2 linked regions of the Saccharomyces cerevisiae S288C genome follow. Each later gene encodes a partner of the first gene's protein in a complex. Each region holds a gene or a part of one and is shown on either strand. Other genes may lie near its edges. A codon is read from its position in the direction of its gene.

Evidence for each region.
Region 2: the proteins of PIK1 (region 1) and FRQ1 are in contact, whole or in part, in an NMR structure (PDB 2JU0), measured with the Saccharomyces cerevisiae proteins. Residues at the interface, in NP_014132.1 of Saccharomyces cerevisiae: Ser122 (codon at 5,151), Tyr123 (codon at 5,148), Gly124 (codon at 5,145), Phe125 (codon at 5,142), Val127 (codon at 5,136), Ala128 (codon at 5,133), Val131 (codon at 5,124), Asn134 (codon at 5,115), Leu135 (codon at 5,112), Gln136 (codon at 5,109), Asn138 (codon at 5,103), Asn141 (codon at 5,094), Thr142 (codon at 5,091), Ser143 (codon at 5,088), Lys151 (codon at 5,064), Glu154 (codon at 5,055), Asn155 (codon at 5,052), Val156 (codon at 5,049), Ala157 (codon at 5,046), Pro158 (codon at 5,043), Ala159 (codon at 5,040), Leu160 (codon at 5,037), Val161 (codon at 5,034), Ser163 (codon at 5,028), Ser164 (codon at 5,025), Met165 (codon at 5,022), Met167 (codon at 5,016), Ser168 (codon at 5,013), Ile170 (codon at 5,007); in NP_010661.3 of Saccharomyces cerevisiae: Trp30 (codon at 4,763), Gly33 (codon at 4,754), Phe34 (codon at 4,751), Arg36 (codon at 4,745), Asp37 (codon at 4,742), Ile51 (codon at 4,700), Tyr52 (codon at 4,697), Phe55 (codon at 4,688), Phe56 (codon at 4,685), Phe64 (codon at 4,661), Phe72 (codon at 4,637), Phe85 (codon at 4,598), Leu89 (codon at 4,586), Thr92 (codon at 4,577), Ser93 (codon at 4,574), Arg94 (codon at 4,571), Lys100 (codon at 4,553), Leu107 (codon at 4,532), Tyr108 (codon at 4,529), Met132 (codon at 4,457), Ser134 (codon at 4,451), Met135 (codon at 4,448), Glu142 (codon at 4,427), Arg148 (codon at 4,409), Lys151 (codon at 4,400), Leu155 (codon at 4,388), Asp176 (codon at 4,325).

What each region holds. Positions count from the first base shown.
Region 1 is NC_001146.8:139,110-146,391, reverse strand, and holds PIK1 (1-phosphatidylinositol 4-kinase), read right to left. Parts: upstream 5,515-7,282; coding exon 2,314-5,514; downstream 1-2,313. Other genes in the region: PDR17 (phosphatidylinositol transporter), read left to right, coding at 1-829; IST1 (Ist1p), read left to right, coding at 1,111-1,137, 1,243-2,112; LYP1 (lysine permease), read right to left, coding at 6,007-7,282. UniProt on the Saccharomyces cerevisiae protein: Acts on phosphatidylinositol (PI) in the first committed step in the production of the second messenger inositol 1,4,5,-trisphosphate. PIK1 is part of a nuclear phosphoinositide cycle and could control cytokinesis through the actin cytoskeleton.
Region 2 is NC_001136.10:1,217,787-1,227,608, reverse strand, and holds FRQ1 (frequenin), read right to left. Parts: upstream 4,851-9,822; coding exon 4,278-4,850; downstream 1-4,277. Other genes in the region: ARH1 (NADPH-adrenodoxin reductase), read right to left, coding at 1-787; bifunctional AAA family ATPase chaperone/translocase BCS1, read left to right, coding at 1,073-2,443; WIP1 (Wip1p), read right to left, coding at 2,583-2,852; PHO92 (mRNA-binding phosphate metabolism regulator), read left to right, coding at 3,215-4,135; VPS74 (Vps74p), read left to right, coding at 5,460-6,497; CTS2 (putative chitinase), read right to left, coding at 6,661-8,196; DXO1 (Dxo1p), read left to right, coding at 8,499-9,822.

The sequences.
Region 1 (7,282 bases):
ACATGCCAATGACAGACCCTTGAGTGATTGGGAGAAGTTTTGGCTTTCTAGGGAGTGTTTTCTAAGATACCTAAGAGCCAATAAATGGAACACCGCGAACGCCATAAAAGGTCTCACCAAAACCTTGGTATGGAGGAGAGAAATTGGACTTACACATGGTAAGGAGGACAAAGACCCTTTAACAGCTGACAAAGTTGCCGTTGAGAACGAAACTGGTAAACAGGTTATTTTGGGCTTTGACAACGCTAAAAGACCTCTATACTACATGAAAAATGGTCGTCAAAACACAGAATCTTCCTTTAGACAAGTCCAAGAATTAGTCTACATGATGGAAACTGCGACAACTGTAGCTCCCCAAGGTGTAGAAAAGATCACAGTCTTGGTAGATTTCAAAAGTTATAAAGAACCTGGTATTATCACTGATAAAGCTCCACCCATCTCTATTGCTAGGATGTGTTTGAACGTCATGCAAGATCATTACCCTGAAAGGTTAGCTAAGTGTGTCCTGATCAATATCCCATGGTTTGCGTGGGCTTTTTTGAAGATGATGTATCCGTTCCTTGACCCTGCCACTAAGGCGAAGGCTATCTTTGACGAACCATTTGAAAACCACATAGAGCCATCTCAACTAGATGCTCTATACAATGGTCTGTTAGACTTCAAGTATAAACATGAAGTCTATTGGCCAGATATGGTTAAGAAAGTTGACGATTTACGATTGAAACGTTTTGATAGATTTTTAAAGTTTGGAGGCATTGTCGGATTAAGTGAATATGACACCAAGGGCCAACATGACGAATTAAAATATCCTGTTGATATGGTCATTTGATAAACTATAATTAAGATTTTTTTTTTTAACGTTTCCCGCTACACAAACGTATATATCTAGACTCAGATGTACGTTTATAATGGCTGCTTATGCGCTTATCGCATTTTATATACTTTTAGAATCAACTGAATCGGCTATCCGCACTCTATTGTTTTGTTTCATGAAAAAAAAAACGCCTTCTGAATTCCAAAGGGTGTGAAAATTATATATACTATTAGTTCCAGCTAATCAATCAGAACTAGTCAACATAGAAGATAGATAAGAGAATACGACAACTAAAAATGGCTCCGTCAATGATTCCGTTCACTGTATGTTTATATTTTATAGTAATTTTTAAAAAGCTTTAGTATGCAAAAGATCTAGGATGTACTAACTGAAGAAGGGTAAAACTATCATCCAAATTATTGTTATAGATCAAGCTTAAAACATGCCTGAAAATGTGTATTCAAAGGTTAAGATATGCTCAAGAAAAGCAACAGGCGATTGCAAAGCAGTCTCGAAGACAGGTTGCACAACTGTTACTGACAAATAAAGAACAGAAGGCGCATTATCGTGTGGAGACGCTAATTCATGACGATATTCATATTGAGCTACTAGAGATATTGGAACTATATTGTGAATTACTACTGGCTAGAGTGCAGGTAATAAACGATATCTCCACCGAGGAACAGCTTGTCAAAGAGCATATGGATGATGGTATTAACGAAGCTATCAGATCCCTAATCTATGCGATTCTTTTCGTTGATGAAGTCAAAGAACTTAGCCAATTGAAAGATTTGATGGCCTGGAAAATAAACGTTGAGTTTGTTAATGGAGTAATAGCAGATCATATCGATGTCCCTGAAAAGATTATAAAAAAATGCTCTCCCTCAGTTCCAAAAGAAGAACTAGTTGATCTTTATTTGAAGGAAATCGCGAAAACATACGATGTGCCATATAGTAAGCTGGAGAATTCCTTATCTTCGTCGTCTTCTAACATTTCTTCAGACTTTAGTGACCCCTCGGGAGATATCGAGGATAATGACGAAGAAAAGCCTATTTTAGCCTTAGATAATGACGATAATGACAATGCAGATGCTAAACACCCTATCACTGTTAAAAAGCCTAGGCAGAATAGTGAAAATATCAAGAACGAGCTCAAGATTCCGAAAGATATCAAAAAGGAAGTGATCGAAAAGAAACAATCAGAAAAGAAAACTACAAAAAGAAAGACTAAGAAGGAGCAAGAAAATGATGAACTAGATGAGTTGAAGAAACGGTTTGACGCTTTACGCAGAAAATAAGATAATAATTTATATGTATGGTTAATTAACCACATATTTATTTTACTCTCATTCTTTTACCTTGCTTTTTCTGAGTCAGCTGCTCTATTATTCTCGGCAATAAATAAATATATGTATATTCCTTTTACTAAAATTCCAATTTTTTTGTTCTCCGGACATTTGCAAATTGTTTTTCCAGTTCTGTCACAGCTATTTTCCTTCTCAGCTATATATACCCTGTGTAATAAGTTGAAATTGGTCGTATATTCTGGTGTAAATACTACCCAAAGATTTACCTATCAAGAAATTTTCTACGAAGTCATCAACTTCTTTTTCTGATAAGTCCAATTGGAACCTTTGTCGTAGTTGTACACTTGTTTGTTCGCCAGCATCGAAACAAGGCTGCATATTGTCCTTTTGCATAATCTCACACATTGATACGATTTGATCAGCATACTTTCTCAGAGCCTTGAACGAACTTTTAGTTAGTTCAACAAACTTTTTAAACGCTTCTCCCTCTACTCCGCCTAGCAGTTCAATATATTCGTAAGTTAATTTGAATGGTGCGGCCTCAAAGCCCACTGAGCCGGGTGAATTTGATAGCATAAATCCAAAATCGATGTGACTTACATGGCCTTCGTTATCGATCATAATGTTACCGTTGTGTCTATCTTTAACCTGCAAGAGATAGCAAATGACAGAATATGCGGCTAACGAAGAAGCAAAGTTGTCTTGTGCTCTTCTATACTTAAATCCATTAGGATTACCAAAAGCTCTAAGGAAGTGATCATTCAAAGAGGCAATACCACCCTTGTCATCTAGTTCTGCATCTTCAATCATTTTTTTGGTTAAAGCCTTTTTAATACTATGCACAGACATAGCATTTGTGATGGTCTCCACAAGTCCCGTATTCGCACTAGTAATTAAAATTTTCATTCTTTTAACCCAAACGTCAACTTTTTCTTTAACCCAAATATTGGCCATCGCTTGAATCATCTGGTATGCAAACGCCTCCTGTCTCAAATCATCACCCGTCTTGGCGATTACAGAACATAAATCCCAGTTTTCGAAATGGCCATATTCCGAAGTTTTACGTATCCTCTCTTTCTTGGTAGCCCAATCTTCACCTAGATATGAAGTGTCAATACCACCCGTCATTAAATCGTTTTCCAATTTTCTCTCACCTGCCATTCCATGAAGGGCTTCCAAATCATGGTAACCAAATTTATCCTGCACCTCCTTCATTGATGAAATAATTTGAGCGCGGATTTGTTTGGTACTTTCTGATAACTGTTGTGGCGACTTATCCAATTGTGCTAACATAACAGCTGAAACTCTCATCTGGTCTGCTAAAGCGTCAGTTTGGCTATGTATATTTTTGCTATTAATTCCATTCTCGATGAGTACTTCGTCCAAGTTTGAGCCAAAGTTCAACTCTGGGCTTCTGTCTTGACTATCATCAGGTAAAATTGGAACATTTGCGGCACTCTGTATTACTAAAGCATTTCTATACGCTTCGTCATCCGTTCTGTTCCTGACTTTTACCATTGACATATCACCTAAATCTTCCTCTTTATTGACTTCAGTCCTAACATGAGCTGTGGACGCTGAATCACTTCTTGAGGTACTGGATAGACCTTCATTGCGGGAGGCCCCGTTGTTGAACGAGTTACTATCATATACCGAAGATCGAGTGTTGTTGCTAGTAAGAGTACTTTCATTTCTATTTTCGTTGTTTTCTTTTCTATTCATGTAATTTAAATCAAATATCAAGCCTCCCTGATTACCACTGATCTTCTTTAATAATCTTTCATTGGTTTCACTTGTTGGGTCAAAATCAAATTCGTCTCTCAAGTATTCTATCAGGAGTAAATATGGAACTTTTTCTGCAGAGTTCAAAACTTGTGCCTCATTAGCAGTAATGGTCACTAATTTATGTAACTTTCCTTTTTTATTTGGAGGCAATAAAGTGGGGATATCTACTTCCGCTGGTAGGTCCCTGTTTAATAGAAACAACTCGGCTCGTAAGGCACTCAATCTAGCTTCTGTCGGTACTCGAGCTAGCCTTTGAGATATTGTTTCTAGCGCAATGGCAAATTGTGTCTCGCAACGAAAATAATTTGCTTTTAACATTTTTATTTTTGAAGTGGTCGATAATTGCGACAAGTCAATTTCTTGACTCAAAGAAGAATTCGCTTTTTTACTGTTTTTGAATGCCTGGCGCGAAAGGGGTTGGGAATTGGTCCTGTTTAACTTAGGTGTCCCTTCTAAAGAAGCAGATGAAGCAGAAGAAGTCCTTGGTTGAATATTATGCAGATCTGGCATAGAACTGGTGAAGTGATCAGAGTTTAAAGCGTCCGCGTCCTCCTCCGTTTCACCACCAGTTTCATCTTCATTGTTACCAATCTCATTATTTTCATCATTACGTCCCTTTGGAGAAATATAATCACCTTTATTTCCATCGAGAGCCTTTGCGGTATTTGAAATGCTTCCGTCCCTGTTTATATTTTTGCCATCATATGTCCTATGAACGTATGAATTATCCAAATACTTAGGTTTACGTTTTGGGAGTTTGATTGAAGATGAGATTCTTTCTTCAAAGACCTGGTTACCTATATCATCCACAATGTCGAAATCCAATTTTACCTCACTATGTCTGGATTTCCTGAAGGATGCATCTTCTTTAGTTTTTATTGGATCTATTAAATCTATTGGAGAAGTCGGAGTTGAACTGCGATTTGAGCTAACTCTTTTGGATCTGGAAGTTTTCTTGTTTAGTAGGGTATTTTTCAAGGTCATGTTCTTGGTAAAATCTTTCATTGCACTTCTAGCCAACTTAAAAACGAAAGCTTTTTGTCTTCTACCTTGAGATTCCACTAATGGTTTGGTCACTTCGCTTAATTGGGGGAATGCTATAGCCGACATTATCATAGAGGAAAGAACTAAGGCCGGTGCAACGTTTTCATGTATTTTAACATTTTTATCGCTACCTGAACTTGTGTTAAAGAGATTGGTTTGTAAGTTGTTTAAGACTCTTCTAGCCACTTGGAAGCCATAAGAAGCGGGGTCAGTAGATAAATCCGTTAGTAACGCTTGTAACTGCCAAAACGTCAGTAGTGCAAAATGAGGGTTTTCCGCCCTCAACCTTAATAGTAAATCTTCTAAAGCCATTGATTCTGTCTCCATGGTGACGAGGACCTGTACTAGTTGGGGAATATAGAACTGTAGTTCGCTGTGAGGAAATGTGGCCAATTTCTGACATAAATAGTAATGTATACCAATATTTTCGGAGTGTTTGCACAGTAACTCCACACAATTGTGAAGGGTGAATTCACTAGAGTTGATCAGTTTCAGTAATTGTTCATTTTTTTTTAGTTCAATAGTATCATCAAAGCTTTTCTTTGAACTGGATGCTTTATGCATAGTGAAGAGAACGAATGCTTAATGAAAACGAACGCTCGCAATGAAGAAAAATGATAAGCTAATTGAAAATTTCTAGCAGGGTCCAGGGATCTTCTTAATATAGAAGTTGGGCCTAAAAAATGAAGGGTCTTCAGTATAAGATCTTGTACTTTTAGTTTTTCTCTAACGAATTTTTTGGTAGGGTTCTTTTGTTTCAGTGCAATAACACGAAAATGACAACAGTTGAACATATCGTGAATAATGACCCTGTTATACACGCTATCAAGTACGTAAAGGATAATATGGAAAATTTATTATAGATTTGAGTACTATCGCTGGCCGAAGGTGACAATGGCCTTATGATGTAACATACTATGAATAGTGAATAATAAGTGGTGATATTATACATAAAGTTTGGGGCAATCCCTCAAAATCTCTACAGGCTATTTTGATTAATGAAACGTCTATTTTTTTATTTTTTTCTATTTTGAAGGCATGCAAGAGGTTCTGTGACTATGCAACAGCAGCCCAGAATTTCTCCCATAAATTCTTAGGCTCGTCGTCTTCCCAAATAATTGCTTCGATTTCTCTTCTGTCGGAATCGATGTCAATATCTTCTAGCTTCCAAATAAATCTGCATTTGTAGTATATCTGGCAACCAATGAACACAACGGCTAAAAGAATCAAGGAGATGTAAGATGTGAAAAACTCAGAAACTTTGAACGGACAGAACGCTTGGAACCCTTGGATGAATATGATGACGGTGACAAAAAAGGCTGCGTAGTAGGCACCATAAGGCATCAATTTGGCCTTGAAGGGCAGATCATCACGAGAAATACCACGGTGCTTTAAAGCTTGCATGAACCTAATATGTGCCAAAGAGATGAATAACCAGGCGCATAACCCAGCCAAAGTGGAAATGTTGATCAACCAGTTAAATGCAGTGTTTGCATTGTTATTGACAACCAGGAATGCCAAAAGACCCAATGCAGCAGTGCAAACAACACCGAGATATGGAACACCCTGTCTGGTGACGTATCCAAATTGCTTTGGTGCGTTACCAGTCCTAGCTAAAGAGTAAAGAACACGGGAACCAACGTAAACATTCGAATTAGCGGCAGATACAACAGTAATCAACACCACGGCGTTGAAAATATCTGGAAGAGCATAAGTACCAGCGTTTTGAATGGAAATAACGAAGGGTGATGATGCAATAACAGCAGAACTAGCAGATAAACGGGAATCGTTGTATGGAACCAGTAGACCAATAAAGAACAAAGACATAATATAGAATAGTACGATTCTAAAGACGACTTTATTGATAGCTCTTGGAACGGTCTTTCTTGGGTTAGCCGCTTCACCAGCGGTGATCCCAACCAGTTCAGTACCTTGGTACGTAAATGCAGCATTAATCAAGGAGGAGACCCATCCGAGAAAACGGCCTTCACTTTTATCACTGGAGATGATGCCTGGCCCCCAGGCTCCTGGATTTCTCCAGTACCTGAAACCGATAGGGCCCTGGTGGGATCCACCGCAGACAATAATCAAAGCATATATCAAGTAACCCATAATGGCTAAAACTTTAACAGAGGCCACCCAGAACTCAAATTCACCATAAACTTTGACAGGGAAAAAATTCATCAAAGTAATAATTACCCAGAATATCGCAATCCAGGCCGCTAATGGAACTTTATCTGTCCAGTATTCAATAACTTGGCCAATGACAGAAACCTCCACAGCATAAGTAATAGCCCAATTGAACCAGTACATGTAGCCGTTAGAAACACCG
Region 2 (9,822 bases), on another chromosome or scaffold:
GGTCAAACATTTCTTTCTGGAAAAATTTAGGATCAATACGGCCACGTATGCCATACTTTTCTAACTCCCATAGTTCTCTTAATTCTTTGTTGGTGAATTTGGAATGAACGAAATCCCTTCGTGCAATTAGCTTAACGTCCTTTACAGGTGCCCTTCTTAGCAAATTTAGTGCAAGAGATGAGATGTCCGTATTTTCCCATATTTCATCAATTTGATTAGAAATAAGTACACGCGTAATATCAAGAGCAACGTTACCGTTTCCTATAATACCAACTTTCGAAACTTTGCTCCAGTCAAAATCGGTAAATCGCTTATCCTTTGCGAAATCAGGATGACCATTGTACCAATTGACAAATTCTCTACTGCTAAACACCCCTTTTGTTCCGAGTTCGCCAGGGATATTCAGCTTTCTGTCCCCTGTACAACCATAACTTAAAATAACAGCATCTTGATTATCCAGCAATTCCTTCAACAATATTTCTTTTCCAATGGTTATACCACCAACAAAGGAAAATTTATGCTTTTGGTTTGTAGGGGAAGAAAACTCTTCTGCACATGTGGTAAACGTTTCTTCACAATTTTTGACTTCTGGATGATCAGGTGCCACACCATATCTACTTAAACCAAAAGGAACAGGTAACTTTTCCCATATAGTAACATTTAATGGAATCGGTGACTTCTTGAGTAAATGGTACGCTGTATAAAAGCCGGAAGGCCCCGATCCAACAATGGATACAGTCTTACGGTTTATTTGTGAAGAAATGTGCCTTATTTGAACAAAGCTCATTTTCACAAGTAATGAGCTAAAAAAGGAAGAAGAAAGAGTGAGAAACTTTCTAAATGAATGAATGAGGCGTTGTGGCCAAGAACTATAGCAAGCAAAAAACTTTCTGTTACGTTCGAGCTATAGTTTACTGCTCTTCGAATTATATCTCGATTGAGTTACCCTTAAAGAGTGCCGAAAAATCGATGTAAATAGTATAAGTAAAGATTTCCACTCTTCTATATTTGCAACGCAGTAGACGTACCAAGGGACGATTTGAAAAAAAATGAAGTGTGCCCTCAATCTACCATGTCGGATAAGCCGATTGACATACAATATGATAAACAGGCTACTCCAAATCTGAGTGGTGTAATTACTCCGCCAACAAATGAAACTGGTAATGACTCAGTCCGGGAAAAACTTTCAAAACTAGTTGGCGATGCTATGTCAAACAATCCCTATTTTGCCGCCGGCGGTGGTCTTATGATCCTTGGTACAGGTTTAGCTGTAGCTAGATCCGGTATAATAAAAGCCAGCAGGGTCCTATACCGACAAATGATTGTCGACTTAGAGATTCAGTCGAAGGACAAATCATACGCCTGGTTTCTAACATGGATGGCCAAACATCCTCAAAGGGTATCTAGACACTTATCCGTTAGGACAAACTACATACAACATGACAATGGATCAGTTAGTACAAAATTTTCGCTGGTTCCGGGTCCGGGAAATCATTGGATTCGTTATAAGGGTGCTTTTATCCTGATTAAAAGAGAAAGGTCCGCAAAAATGATAGATATCGCAAACGGGTCACCATTTGAGACCGTAACCTTAACTACACTGTACCGTGACAAACATTTGTTCGATGACATTTTGAACGAGGCTAAAGACATAGCCCTGAAGACTACTGAGGGCAAGACTGTTATTTACACTTCTTTCGGCCCTGAATGGAGAAAGTTTGGTCAACCAAAAGCTAAAAGGATGCTGCCCTCCGTCATTTTGGACAGTGGCATCAAAGAGGGTATTCTCGATGACGTTTATGATTTTATGAAGAACGGCAAATGGTACTCTGACAGGGGTATCCCATATCGCAGGGGATATTTACTCTATGGCCCTCCCGGATCTGGTAAGACTAGCTTTATCCAGGCTTTAGCGGGCGAATTAGACTACAACATTTGTATTTTAAACCTCTCCGAAAATAATTTAACAGATGACAGATTAAACCACTTAATGAATAACATGCCAGAAAGGAGCATACTATTACTGGAAGATATTGACGCGGCGTTCAACAAAAGAAGTCAAACTGGTGAACAAGGTTTTCATTCTAGCGTAACATTTAGCGGTTTACTGAATGCCCTGGATGGCGTCACATCTTCTGAAGAAACTATTACATTCATGACTACCAATCATCCTGAAAAGCTAGACGCGGCTATAATGAGACCAGGTCGTATTGACTACAAAGTCTTCGTTGGTAACGCAACTCCATACCAGGTAGAAAAAATGTTTATGAAATTTTACCCAGGTGAGACTGATATATGCAAAAAGTTTGTAAATAGTGTTAAAGAATTGGATATCACCGTAAGTACCGCCCAGTTGCAAGGACTTTTCGTTATGAATAAAGATGCACCACACGATGCGTTGAAAATGGTCTCCAGCTTACGGAACGCTAATCATATTTTCTAGGTGCTAAGTGGCGCCTTACTACATAACTTGTATATAATAAAAATTCAGAAGATGCTTTAACTTTTTCTCGTTAATAAGACCGAGTTATTTGCTATTACGAACAAAAGAGTATATGATAAAGAGGCTTAAAAATACCCCTTCATTGACTATCCAGAAAAGCCTGCGTTGCAGCTTCAATATGATAAGGATATACTTCCCTCAAACCTTCTGCAGTTGCCCTTGTTCTAGCATCCAGCAGAATTTTTCTTAAAATGGCCTGAAATCCACATGCCAATAATAATTTCTTGTTATATTCTTGACTAGACTCTTGATCTTCATTTTGCCGTTGGAGAAGATCTTCTAGCTTATTCTCCTCCGCATCTAAACTAAGCTGCCGTAGCAAATAATTGGCCAATGCTTCCGTATCCATGGAAGAATGTTAGGAACTGTTGCTATTGTTGTACTTTGGTTATACGACAGTAAGTAACGTTGACTTGGTGACCGAAAATAGACACGAAATCGCTACCCGTTTCCCCAGAATATCACTCCTCACGATGTACCTCGGCGGCTAATCTTTTTGGTAGCCTTTTGTGATATATATATAAATAAATAAGTATACATACATATATATATATATATATTTATACAGCTACATTGTTTTCCTCCAAAATTTTCTGTTGGTTATGAATCGCAAAAGAAGTTTTCAGATTGTGTCCTCTGTTACTATTTCGTTAAGAAAGGAAGATATCGTCTACGGCTGGTGTGACGTAAGTATTGCGTTGTGCTCTAAAAATGAATCAAATCTGGTCTACAGGTCCCCCAAATTTTTACTTCAACTCTGAATGGAAAGAAAATAAGAGAAATGACAGGACAATTGAAGACTCTTTAAGAGAACTAGATGGGTTGATCCATTCCTTGGAGAGAACTCATATTGAAGTACAAACAAACCCAAAGCTAAAGAACGATGTCACAGCTTTAAATGATATTAACAAGAAAGAAAATAAAGAAGAGATCACTCATGAAAACTATACACACCAGATTAATAGTATTCCATTGACAAGCTCAAATTTAAATCGGCATTTCTCCTTTTCTAGAGACTACAACCAATCTGATAATAGCAATAATAATTATTACAGGGAATATTTATCCAAACCAAGGTATTTGCAGCAGTCAACTAAAGAACAAACTTTCAATGAAATTAATAAAAGAAAAAGTGCTGCAATTATTCCCCCTTGGTTAAATATTCCAGAAAACTCAAGATTTTTTGTAATAAAGTCCTCGTCTTTGAAGCATGTCAAAAGGTCGTTTTACAACGGAATTTGGTCGTCTACTCATTTCGGCAACAAAAGGCTATCTGAGGCATATAAAAAGCTTAATTCGGGAGCCAAAGTGTTTTTATTTTTTTCAATCAACACATCAGGAAGATTCTGTGGCGTTGCAGAAATGGTATCGGATTTGAAAATGGATTTGGACACCAGTATATGGGAAGATGAACAAAAATATGGCAAAGCCTTTAAAGTAAGATGGGTGATCGTGCGTGATATAAATAACAGATCGTTAAAAAGGTTTTTGATACCATCCAATGAAATGAAACCGATAACACATTCCAGAGATACTCAAGAAATTCCATATTCGATTGGAATTTCAATAATTAATCTATTTAAAACTCAAGATTCTGATATTTTCTCCTTCTTGGATGAGACGTATGAATAGACCTTATCCCTCATTTATCAACATTTTATTCTCATTTATTATTAGTATTATTATTATTTTTAATATTATTTTTATTTAAAATTATCCTAAAATTACTTCTACTGTTATAACATCCAATCCATAAGAAGCAAAAACAAAGTTTTCATATTAAGCCATCGTAAAGGTTTAAGGCACCAATAATAGAGGGATCGACTTTAGAACCTTCTCTGAATTCGTCCAGCGTAATGTAACCATCTTCGTTCTTATCCATCAACTTGAAGATCTTCTTTACCCTCATTTCGGGCGTTGCCTCATCCTCATTAAGTGTAACCATAGACCCCATCATTTTATAAACACTCGCCACAATGGTTAGCATTTCATCAAATGTAATATATCCATCATGGTTCAAATCATAAAGTTCGAAAGCCCAGCTCAGTTTTTCCTCCAAAGTTCCTCTGGACGTTGTACTCAAAACTGTGATAAACTCTTCAAAATGTATGAATCCATTGTTGTCTTTATCAAAAACTGTAAAAAGGTGATTAGCAAAATCTTCAGGAGAACCAAATGGAAAAAACTGTTTGTATATCTTAACAAAATCTTCCCTAGCTAGTTGGCCACTAGGGCAATCCCTCAAAAATCCTTTATGCCATTGCTGGATTTCTCTTCTATCAAAATAGGTGGATTGTTTCAAACATGTCAGGTCATCTTTGGAAAGCTTTGACGTCTTGGCTCCCATTTTTTTTTTGAATCAAAAACAGTTTTCAAGCACAAAATAACTCTCGCCGATTCTTAAACTAGCAACAATTATAAAACAGGAGGTAATATCCCTAGTTCATCAGTTCAATCGTTGACAAATTAAACATTATTTCAGTACTCTATGGTATAATAATAAAAAATACACCGAAGAGTTACCCTTTTTTCGTTTTTAATGATCAATTCTGGCTCATTTTTTTACTTCCTGAGCAGTCAACTACTACTGAAAAAAAGAGGCTAATGGGTACGCATTTACCTAAAAACAATTAGATCCCTGCCTTGGATCGTAATCTTGTTTATCTATCCTTTTTGGACATTGACATCTATTTGTGTCGCAGTTAATTGCTTTCTGGGTACGTTGACTTTTTCAGTTCTATATCGGCCCGTTGCTTACTCTGTTCAACTCACTTATTCTTTTGTTTCGGTTTGGGCTGCTGCATTTATAGATTAAAAATAAATTTCAAATTTCCACGCTAACAAATAGAGCTAAATTAGCAGTTTCATTGTTGGCTATATTTTCATTACAACTTTTGATCTGATAACGTAAAAGAATTCAAACAAAAACTATCTAAAAAAATACAAAGCAAAAATCATGTCTACTTTACAACGTCGTAGAGTCAATAGGGCGGATTCTGGAGATACTTCCTCCATTCATTCTTCTGCTAACAATACCAAAGGAGACAAAATCGCAAATATTGCTGTTGACGGGGATGATGACAATGGAACAAACAAAAAGATTGCATATGACCCAGAAGAATCGAAATTGAGAGACAACATCAATATCCCTACGTTAACGTTGATGGAAGAAGTCTTATTGATGGGCTTAAGAGATAGAGAAGGATATTTGTCGTTTTGGAATGATAGTATTTCATATGCTTTGCGTGGTTGTATAATTATAGAATTAGCGTTAAGAGGTAAAATCAGAATCTTAGATGATTCCGCCAGGAAAAGGTTCGATCTTTCCGAAAGGTTGATTGAAGTTATTGACAGTTCCAAAACTGGGGAAGTTTTACTGGATGAAACTTTGCAATTGATGAAAAACGACGAACCTTTGTCAATTTCTAACTGGATTGATCTTTTAAGTGGTGAAACATGGAACCTTTTAAAGATCAACTATCAATTGAAACAAGTAAGGGAAAGATTGGCAAAAGGTTTGGTCGATAAAGGTGTATTGAGAACAGAAATGAAAAATTTCTTTTTGTTTGACATGGCGACACACCCCATTGCAGACGCCAGCTGCAAAGAAGCCATTAAGCGCAGAGTACTTTCTGTACTCGTATCGAGGAACATGGAATTAAGTTACAATGAATATTTTCCGGAGACAACATCTTTCAAAATCATTAGAACTTTAGCTTTAATATGTGGATCATATGGGGCAAACGTATTGGAGAATGTCCTGACTACGTTGGAATATGAGAAGAGAGATAAGGCAATTAGTAGAGCTGAAGAAATAATGGCACAATTTTCGCAATACCCATTTGATTTAGAAAAGGAAACTGAGTTAGGTGTCTCCGTTAATTTAAACAAGGAAGTTAAAGAAGAGATAGAAAACAATCCTGGTCATGATTTACAATTGGAAGTTATTGCTGGTGTATTTGAAGTCTTTTCAAGAATGGATATGCTATTATGAAAATAACAACAAAAATCCTCTCTTTGAAACATAAGGAAAAGTCAAGCTTTTTTTTATAAGCCTCTAACATTAATAAACGAAATTTGTATATATGTATATACATATACGGAGTGGATAATAAATAGACCAAACTTTTTGTTATTATATACGCCCACATTCGTATTCATTGCTTTCTTGAATCCAAATGCTTTAAATATGGAGATAAAAATCCGCCATCGCCATATTTATTCAAGTAATATTTTTTAACTCTCACATCTTGAAATATTGATGGTTTTGATGACACATTAAAGTGCAAGCCTTCATTAAATGCGTTTATCAACGACCTTGACTCATTTGCATAAGCTTCACCACATGACTCCCACCAAAAGCCTCCGCCTAAATTGTTATGTGTCACATATTCAGCCTTAGTTTTGACTGATTTAGTGTTATCATAACTGATAAATATTGAATTTTTTTCATCAAAGCAATATGCTGAAACATATTTTGGATCGTATTGTTCTATTGTACCAATCTTTGGTAAATTTTTGTAAGGCCAGATGCCCTCCTTGCCATCAGCTTTATCTATTTCTTTAGTGGGCTTGCCCACTCCTTTGAAAATTTTGTTAATTAATACAGTATTTTGATTGAATGGTTCGAATTTGTTATCTTTGATATGGAAACTTCTTCCGTAGGCGGCCATTCCCAGTACTAATTTTCTAGAATTGACGCCAAATCTATCGATCATATAATGCATGGCAAAGTTTCCATTCAATTCCGTCTCACTGAATAGATTGCTGTGATATCCTGTTGTTTCTGACCACGAGCCATAATAATCGTACGTCATCATATTCCAGTAGTCAACATATTGATCAATTTCTGTGATTGGCAAGTAAAATAATTTATCCTTGAATGCAGGTGCCGCAATAGATAATTGAAAATGATCTTCAGTACGTTTCCCAAATATTTGGGATTCGAGGCTGTTTAGTTTTAATCGCAGCATTCTGACCAGTTTCAGATATCCGCGAGGTTCTGATTCATTGTTACCAGGGAACTCCCAGTCTAGATCAATGCCATCAAATCCTAATCTGAACATTGTTTCCACCGACGAATCAACAAAATTTTGTAAGAGTTTATCATCTTTAATTATGATTTTGAAATTTTCACTATCAGACCAGCCCCCAATTGACATGATAACTTTAAATTTCTTATCAGAACAGGTATTCTTCAAATAAAATAGTTCACCAATGCAACCTAAGGGTAGGATGTTTTGGACACTATTGTTCGAGCTTTCTTTAATTAGTTCTGAATTTTTAATTGCCAGCGATTTATACAAATTCATTTCTAGATCAGACCAACTATCCGTGTTTTCTATACCACCAGTTCTAGAGTTTATTTTGAAAAATGCATAGTAAATGTGAGACACTTGCTTCAAGTTTATGTCGTGAGGGAAATGAAACCTCGGTTTGTATGGGGACCAATTGGAATAATAGACCCCTGATATAAAGGCTTCGTCTCTTATATGGGTTCCATGATTTTGGACATTACTGGGAACTCGATGTCCGCCATTGTTAAAGTTGTCTCTAATATCATCCGACCTTTGGTTCTTAAAAATTTTATTATATAAACACATTTCAATAATAATCGTTATAAAGATAAGTAGTATTAGTAGGTGAGACACTAAGCTGCTTTTTGATCTGTGCTGAGCTGAGTGTCCTACCATATGATCACTCTTGTATCGTCTACTTATAGAGGTTGTTAGTACCAACCTGCAAATACAATTGTTGGACCATACTACCACAAAAGGTTCTTTTCGTTGGTGTATCCTCACAAATAATGATTATTCCACCAAAATCACCAAATTATTGTGTCAAACTAACTGGGATTACCCCACTATTGATTTTTCCAGTTTTTCCGCAATTTTCGCAGCATGTTTTACTTTTATAATGGCATTGTTGCATTACAGCGCCAGTTGTAGGTATCGATGATTTTATGTCAAAGTTTTCTTTCTAGCCAAACTCAGTTATGTCAACTGAACAAGATGCTGTTCTTGGATTGGCCAAAGATTTAGAAGGTATAAATTTGCTTACTGTGCCCAATCTCGAGAGAGGACACCAAAGTAAATTATGCAAAGAGAAAACTACTTCTGATTCATCTTCGTCAAGGAAGCCTTCACAACAGAGAGACAATTATAGAAAGAGACGTCCGAAACTTATATGTATCCCATATACGTCTTTTCTGCATACTGGTATGCACAATTTTTTGACGAAACCACCAAGAGATATATTTCATGAAAGTAAAGAAGTAGCTCTGTTTACCAATGGCCGGGCTTATACAATCCTACGCAAAGACCTTATACCAAATTTGAAAGAAAGTATTGCTGAATTGTATGAAAGCTCGCTTCTTGAGGCAAAAAAGCGGAAAGTCCCGTATTTAGGCCATGACTTATTTGCTAATATTGATGAGTTCGTTCCCATGACAATATCCGAATTAGATAGTGTATCACCGTGTTTTTCATACATTGAGAACTGGATACTAGATAATCCTGGTAAGGATTTTAAGATCGGCAAGAAATTTACTGTTGTAACCACAAGACATCATATCGTAGATTTGACTATGCATCTCTTTAACAGGCGAAATAGACAAACGTCACTAATTGTAACTTATATGGGGGCGGGCCTTCTTTCATTTTGCAGAAATGTAAAAAAAGATTCTCAAATGTCCAAAGAGGGCATTTATTCAAATGATCCAAATATGAAGAAAATTTGCTATTCAGGATTTGAATTTGAAAATTGGGTAACCGAAAATTCCAAAGTCGCTGATTTAACTGGCTCTAAATGTCCTATTTTTTCTCTTGTAGAGAGTAAACTTTCAGAAGAAATTGGTCTTTTAATTCGCTGCGAAATGGATGCATTCAATCCTGTTTCGGAGACAAACACAGAACTAAAGTGTTTTGCCCCATTATCAATGCACAATTCCAATCATAGGAGAAAACTTCTGAAAACGTGGGTACAGACGGGTTTATTACCGAACTCAGATATCATGATAGGTTTGAGGGACAGTCATAGCGGTCAATTACTAGACATTCAATGGTACTCAAGGGACTTATTATGTAAGAAATTCAATCACCCAGGTCTACCTACAAATAAAAAGGAACTTAACTATAATGCCCAAATTGCGGTAGAATGGTGTCATTATTGTATTGAAGCAATTTGTAAGCTGGTGGAGGCAAATATCTCTGACTATAGCAGTACAAAACCAGAATCATTTGAAATCGGTATAGATACTAACAACGCCATCGTCATCACTAAACTTAAGACTACTCCAAGAAACGTAGAATTATTTGGAA